Canis lupus familiaris: one gene and its partner. The protein of the gene in region 1 interacts with the protein of each later gene in a pairwise test. Links are inferred from orthologs where the notes say so. Each region holds a gene or a part of one and is shown in the gene's direction. Other genes may lie near its edges.

Region 1 (3,500 bases):
CTGTAATAGGTTAAGTTCTATCTTCTCTTTCCCTAATGGTCTAGAAAAATATTTGTTCCATTATTGCCTGGCTGATTTTTCTTCTTTCTTCTGGTCTCATAAGTGACCTAGCATAAGTGTTAGGTCCTCAGAAAGTTTGCCTGATGTAATGCCTGCTTCTTTGCAGTCTTTTATCTCTTACTGTCTTCCATTATCTCTGTTCCTGTTGTATAGTGTTAGATCTAAGACTTTTCCTTCCCTCATATTTATTACAATTGTAACTAATGTCTGTAATTGTTTAATGTTGGCATCCTTACATAGAAGACCGTTTCTCTGAGGCCTTGCAGGAACCCTGTCTGTTGACTTGACATCTATATTCTTAGTGCCTACCACTGTGCCCAGAACATAGCAGTTGCTCAGCAAAATTTGCCGAAAAAATACCCATTTCTATTGCACAGCTACCTGTAGAGGTAACATCTTAGCAGTGTTAATATTAAAATTTGCGTAAATTCTTAATTTTACTTATCAGATACAACTGCATTCTTTATAATTTTTCCTCTGTTAAGCTGTGAGTTTCTTGAGGTTGCAGTTTTCTAGTATATCTTTTTAATCCAGAGCCTATCAGAATGTTTGGCACTGGAAATTTTATTGTTCAGTGAATGTTTATCAATGAAAATATGTTTTTAAAATATGATTAACAAATGGAAAATTTTGCAGATAATAAGAATTCAAACTGGAATCACCACCATGCTACTAGTTTAAGTAACACACTAAGTGGGAGGCAATATTTGATAGCCATTTGCAGTAAAGAAGGTAATATGAAAAATACGTAAATTAGTGTGTGTATTCTAAAAAGTTCATTGTCAGCTAATGGTGAATATTTGGAAATTTAGTTTCTTGATTGGGTCTTCTAATAGTCTTTTTTTCATAATTAATGCTTTTTCCTGAGAAAATTTAGAAAACTGTGTCCTGCTTTTTTCATCAGTATTATATGGGAACATTTTTTCTCATTGCATTTAATTTTTTCAGTCTGATTTTAATAGGAACATAGTTTTTCATCCTTTAAGTTTGTCATAATTTTTCAATAATGGTTTTATTGAATATATAACCTATTTTTAGGTATTATATATAATACTCAGTGAACTTTCTGCAGAAATTGTTGTATTCATATCTGCTTTTTCCTTAGAATTTTAAAAGTAGAATTACTGAGTTAAAAGGTTTGAGCATTTCTAATACTGTTGATGTTACCAAATCATTATCTGTTGCCCTCCAAAAGTATTGTATCTGTTCATTTCTAACAAAAATGAGGGTGAAGAAAATTTCAGTTTACTCTCTTGTATTGCAAAGTATAATTACTAAAACCTTGTTAGTGTGTGAGGTTAAAAATAGTGATAATTTAACCTTATTTGATTACTAGTGAGGCCACATATATTTCATGTTTCTTGTATGTTTTCTATAAATTGTGTCCTTTGCTCATTTTTCCATTGAGATATTCTAACTAATCACAATATTGTTCTAATATTTTAATATCCTAATTTTAATTAATTTGTTTATTGATTTTTAAATTGAAAAAGCTTTGTACAATCTAATAATATCAGTGTATTTAAATGGTAATTTAATTCCATTGTAAGCTCTCACATAATAGAACATGTTTCATTTTTGCAAGTAGCATTAAGTTATCTTCTATGAAACATTTTAAAAGAACATTTATTTTGTAAACTAGGAGCCTTTTGTAGCAGATGAGTATATTGAACGACTTGTGTGGAGAACCCCAGGAGGAGGCTCTAGAGGGGGACCTGAAGCTTTTGATCCCAAAAGGTGAAGTAAAAAAAAAAAATTTTTCCCCGTAGATCCAGTCTAGTACAAATTTGTGTTTAGAATAGAGGTGACTATTGAAATTCCTTCCAAGGTTTGTGTAAAGGGATTTTAGTTAAATACTTGGCAAATAAAGACACAAGCACTGATTTATTTTCTCTTATATTTCTTTTATTTTAGAGAAGGACTTTAACTGGTGTGAGGGTAGGGATTATATATATAAGAATTTCATATTTTCTCCAATTTGTAATTAGAAAAGATTCTTATATCTCTAAAATAAATTCATGTTGAATATGTTGATTTAAGTGTAGTTGTAAATCAGAGGAACAGAAAGTCACTCTTCATGGAATGCACAATATTATTTTTATGTATTTTATAAAAATATTTTTGTACTTCATGTATATAGATATATTTTTATCTTTTTGACTATTTTCTATAGAATTGGTTTCTATTCTGGAAGGTAGTAGAGATCCTGGGTGAGGTTTTCAATCTTGTCAAAGATAATCCCTAGGATGCTATCAAGAAAATTAACATGATCACCCCTACTTCAAGGAATGCTTATTGATACTTTATTATAAGTGAACTGGCCAGCTCCTAATGATTAATCATAGATGGATTGATACATACTCTAATTTTCCTCTGTTAGGTTATTAGAAGAATTTGTAAATCATATTCAAGAACTCCAGATAATGGATGAAAGGATTCAAAGGAAAGTAGAGAAACTAGAGCAACAGTGTCAGAAAGAAGCCAAGGAATTTGCCAAGAAGGTACAAGAGCTCCAGAAAAGCAATCAGGTAAACATTTAAGCTGTGAATAATATATACAGGTTATAATATCTCTTTATTTCTTTCCACTTAATTGAGTTCTTTAAAAATTCTAGTCAAATAATAGTAACTGTTGAGGTTTCTTTCAAATGTTCCTATCCTTAGGGAAAAGCATCAGTGAATTGTTATCAAGCACTCTTAGCACTGACTTGCTGTTGATCCTTGATTTAGAATCATAGTACTCCCTTCTTAGGCTAAAGTAGTATGTAGTACAGTCACAGTGCAAACTTTGAAGAATGACCCTTTAGCAGATCTGCATTTTTAGGGGTTCATGATTAGCTTGGATATTTAAGTAGTGATTTGTATTCTCATTAAGCATAAAACAAAGTAATACCAGAACACCTATTACTTCAATCCAATTTTTCCCTAGTCTGGGAAGTTTTACAGAAGTCATGGAGTATATGCCCTCATGAGAATTGTGGTATAACTAGAGGAGAGTGGATACAGGACTCTTCTTCAATCCATTTTGGAGTAAAATCAAATTATCAGTATGGTTCTGGGGTAAGTAGGCCAAATTTCTTAGCTGTTCTTAAGTCCTAAACTGAATCTGGAACCTGTGAACCCATTTTACAGCCTGGGCCAGATCCTGGAACTTGATTGCCATTTATAAGTCTAGTTCATGGAGTGATGTTTAGCATTGCTGCCTCCCAGGGGCTGTTTTTCCTTAGTGTTAGGGATTAGCAAACTGATTTCTGCTCAAACGTTATTTGATTTCCTTCACTTAAGTATATATATGGCTGTGAGAAAATATTTAATAAAGTCAGTAATTTATGTAAGATAGAGAATGTGTTTTAAAGTAGTTAAAGTGATAGATTCCAAATACTTCAGTTTTCTCTTGGTAATATATAATAGTATAAATAGTTAATCTATCAGGTTTGGAGA
Region 2 (4,149 bases), on another chromosome or scaffold:
TGGAGATCTAGCTGCTCGCCTGGGCTATTTCCCCAGTAGTGTTGTACGTGAGGACCAGACCCTGAAACCTGGCAAAATCGATGTGAAGACAGATGTGAGTGTCTTGGGGGGCTGGCAGGGATCCGGAGGGAGGACCCTGAGGTTGTGATGATGGGCAAAGATGCTCCTGCCCTTGGCTCCCTGGCAGTGTAGCTGTGTGCACTGGGACAAATTCCCTGCCTCGGTTTTCTTATCTGTAAAATGGGGGAGTGATTTTTTTTTGAAGTCCCTGTTAGATTGAGAGGTGCAAAGATTGGAGGACTCTGGACTAATTTGCATAGCACATGTTTGGCCAAACCTGGCCCCTGCCACAACAAAAACCACTAGATCCTTTGTGGTGTGACCGCTGGTTTTCTCCCCACTGTTTACCCTTTCTCTTTTTCAGAAATGGGATTTCTACTGCCAGTGAGCTCAGCCTACCACTGTCCCTGCTGTTTTTTTTTTTTTTCCCTCCTTCTGGCTTTATGCAAATATATCAGCCAAGTGCAAAATGCAGGTCTCCGTGGTCTTTTTTTTGGGGGGGGGGGGGGGGCGGTGTAACAAAGGAAATGTTTCCCCAGGTTCCTGAATTTAGCCAGTCAACTCATTGACTCTCGTGACGTCAGTGGTTGCTAGGCAGACTTCCACTAAATGCTCTGCTCCGAGCTGGGTACCAGAGGTGGGCTAAACTTAGATACACAAGCAAATGAGAAGGCGGAATAGCCTGAACAGACCGGTTGCGTGTTTTTTAGTGTCCTCTCTAGACCAAGGGGAGGGAGTTGAACTGTTGGGAAGGAGCCAATAAGGCCACGAGGAAGACATAAATCACAGAATAACAGAATAAGAGGTTATCGTGGAAGACCATCTGCAAAGGGAAGGGGGAGGTTAGCCAGCGCGTACCCCCCACCCCTCCAGTTTTCGTCTTTCTTGTCTTTGAGGTCTGAGAAAGCGCTCCCCAGCTCGATACCCGCTCCTCTTCGGGTCTTTCTGTCAATCCTGTCCATGCCCCCTTCTTTGCAGCCGTGCCCCCGCCCCCAGGTCCGCTCCTACCCAATCCGGAGTCTCGACTCTGCACCCGTACTCCTGACCAAATCCGTTTCTCAGCGGGGCTAAAGCATCTCCGTACGGTCCCTTCCCACCTGCTCCGCCAATCGCTCGTCTTGGTCCCGCCCCCCTTGGCCCGTCCCCTCTCGCGCGGCCAATCCGCGCCCTTTGTCCCGCCTCCCGGCCGCCGAGTTCACCAATCCCTGCTCTCGGGAAGCGTGGCCTGGTATCCCGCAGCCCTAGCGGGTCGCGCTGTGGGGGGTGGAGGCGGAAGTGGCGGCGCCGGTCCCGGGAGTAGGAAGGAGCCGGGGCTGCAGCCGGAGTGGAGCGGCTGCCAGCCGAGGAGCAGGCGCGGCCGCGGCGCCATATTGCGGCCCCGAGCGGCCGCGACCGAGTCATGGCCGAGACCTACGGTGAGGGTGGTGGGCCGGAGTCAGGGTCTGGGGTCTGGGCCCAGGGAGGATGCGGCCTTTGGGGAGTGGGGCGGGGCCTTATGTGCCAGGGGGCGGGGTCTGGCATGGGGCAGGGCCTAGTGGCTGCTGGGAGGGGTTTAATGGGTACGAGGCTGGGCTTCATGGATTTGGGCGGAGCCTGAGGGTCTGGTGTGTGGGTTAAATAGATCTGGGGCGGGATTTGAGGGAGCCAGTCTTGATGGACTTGGGCAGGCCTTGAAGGAAAGGATGGTTCTTACTGTGTCGGGGCGGAGTCTGGATGGATGGGGTGGGGCTGACCGTGTGAATGGCAGGGCTTGGGGATGGTGGGCTGGGAGAACCCCGAGGGGTTGCTGTGGATCCTGGGATTGCTCTGGCTGGAGAGGGCTGCAGTGGGGTTGGGGATGCATCGTCCTTGAATTAGGTGGTGGGAGGGACTAGTGGCAAGGGGTGGGTGGGGCTTAAACTTGAGAGGGCCTCGGGCCGAGGAAGGGATGGAGGGACTGAGAATTGGAGAATCCGGATGGATGGATGAATAGGAGGTGGGAGGACAGGGTGCCGTAGAAACAGCACTGGTGTAAGAATCAGAAGGAGCTATATTCCTTCAACGAGTAGAGAAAAGCCGAGGGAACAAGTGCAAAGATCCTGAGGTGAGAACCAGCTTGCCATTTTCAGGTAATAGACTGAAGGCCCCAGGCTAGAATAGAGTGAATGAGAACGTGGTAGGAGGTGAGGTCGTGATGGGCAAGGGCAAGGCTGTCACCCTGGGTAACATGGATCTTGAGAGGCTTTAACAACATCATAGCTAAGCTTTTGAGCTCTGGAGCCAGTTGAGCTGGGTTCGAATCCCAGCTATGCCCAGCTATGGGGTCTTGGGTAGACCAGTTAACCTTTCTGGCCTCAGTTTCCTCATCTGGAAGATGGAGATACTTGTTGGTATACCTCCCTTGTAGTGTTTTTCTGAGGATTAAGTGAGCTTGCCGTAGTAAAGAGCTAGAACTGTGCCTGTTATGTGGTAAGCACTGTATATGAATTGTCTGTTGTTACTGTTGCTCTGTTTCTGCCTGTGTCTGTTTGTCCCCTTGTAACTGTGATGGTCTCTTGGTTTCCATCTTTTGCCCTGTATCATTCTCTCCATATGGGTTTCCCTGATTTTGGCTCCATCTGCTCAGACTTCCTCTTCAAATTCCTGGTGATTGGCAGTGCAGGAACTGGCAAATCATGTCTCCTTCATCAGTTCATTGAGAATAAGTGTGAGTTTCTGGGAGTGGTCCCGGGAGCACTGAACTGTGGGTGTGGGCATAGCGTGGGCAGGGGCAGGGCTGGCCGTAGGTACAATTTCAGTGCTGGCTGCCTGGCCCTCGCCTTTGCTAGATCCTCCTTGAGGATCTCAGTCACCCCAGCAATGAGAATGGTTTTGTATAGGCTGAGGAGGCTTGGGAGGACAGGGAAGCTTCTGAGCCCCTGCACTGCCTCTTCTCTCCTTCCCACTCCCAGTCAAACAGGACTCCAACCACACAATCGGCGTGGAGTTTGGATCTCGGGTAGTCAACGTGGGTGGGAAGACTGTGAAGCTCCAGATTTGGGACACAGCCGGCCAAGAGCGGTTTCGGTAGGTGGGCCGGGCTCCCAAGGGAGGGGGACAGAGGAAAGAGGAGACAAAATGAGATAAAGGGACAGAGAGAGAGGTGTGTGCAGTCACTTGGAGGTATGACGGAAGCACAGAGACAATGAGAGGGCAGGCGAGGCTGCGGGAGAAAGGCAGAGACTCAGTACGGGTGCCTATTATAGCCAGAGCTAGCAGGGGTCCTGGAGAGAGAGCAAGGATTGCAAGGGAGAATGAGGCTGAGAAAGAAGCATAATGAAAGGAGAGACCCACAGACCCTAGAGAGACTGCAGTAGATCGAGCCATAAGGCTGGAGAGATGGAGATTTGTGCCTGGGGAAAGGCGCTTGGGGTGGGGGCCAGGGGTAGAGGTGGAAAGAGAGAGATTGAAAGAGAAGGAAACTGCGAAAGAGATACACTCAGAATTAGACAGAGAAAGACAGAGACTGAGAAGAAGAGCAAGGGAAGGATGATAAAGAGACACAAAGAGAAATAGGTCCAAGCCGGAGACAGGGAGGGTGGGACAGGAGGAGCCAGAGAGGTGGAGAAATGGATGTTGTGTGGCGGGGGAGAGAGAATGGCGGAGGGCTCAGCATACAGTGTGTCTTCAAGAAATGGCTGCGGACAAGGTGGTTGGTGCACAGAAACCCTGAGTTTAAGAGACAGAGAGGAGGGACATGAGGGAATCGAGTCCATGGAGAAGTGTGGTCCCTAGCCAGCATGGCGTCGTAGCTGCTAAGTTAATATTGGTGATATTGTTGATATCACCATGTGAGAGAGACAGAGAGAAGGCGAAGGGTGAGTGGCTGGCGCTGGGTTTGTGCTAAGTGCTTAGTGAGTGCTTGTGGAATGGTTGAATTTGAGGAGGACCCAGACAGGTGACACGGAGATGCAGGCAGATGCAGCCACCCTGGGAAGAGGGCCTCCCCAAGATGCAGCAGGAGAGGGACAAGCCAGTGTAGTTGCAGAGCACTTGGCCAGGAATGGGCAAAGGGAAGAAGGCGAAATGAGGCATGAGTGAATGCATGAGAAACCAAGAGTGAAGAAGAGG

What was found.
Region 2: the proteins of EXOC5 (region 1) and RAB4B interact in binary tests that used the Homo sapiens proteins (3 or more experiments, as listed by UniProt). The two-hybrid records come from large-scale screens. The link is inferred for Canis lupus familiaris from reciprocal best matches to the Homo sapiens genes EXOC5 and RAB4B.

The regions. Positions count from the first base shown.
Region 1 is NC_049229.1:33,133,153-33,136,652, reverse strand, and holds part of EXOC5 (exocyst complex component 5), read left to right. Parts: intron 1-1,702; coding exon 1,703-1,797; intron 1,798-2,440; coding exon 2,441-2,588; intron 2,589-3,500. UniProt on the Homo sapiens protein: Component of the exocyst complex involved in the docking of exocytic vesicles with fusion sites on the plasma membrane.
Region 2 is NC_049222.1:113,793,091-113,797,239, reverse strand, and holds the start of RAB4B (ras-related protein Rab-4B), read left to right. Parts: upstream 1-1,349; 5' UTR 1,350-1,459; coding exon 1,460-1,475; intron 1,476-2,665; coding exon 2,666-2,746; intron 2,747-2,990; coding exon 2,991-3,105; intron 3,106-4,149. Other genes in the region: MIA (melanoma-derived growth regulatory protein), read left to right, coding at 1-94, 425-448. UniProt on the Homo sapiens protein: The small GTPases Rab are key regulators of intracellular membrane trafficking, from the formation of transport vesicles to their fusion with membranes.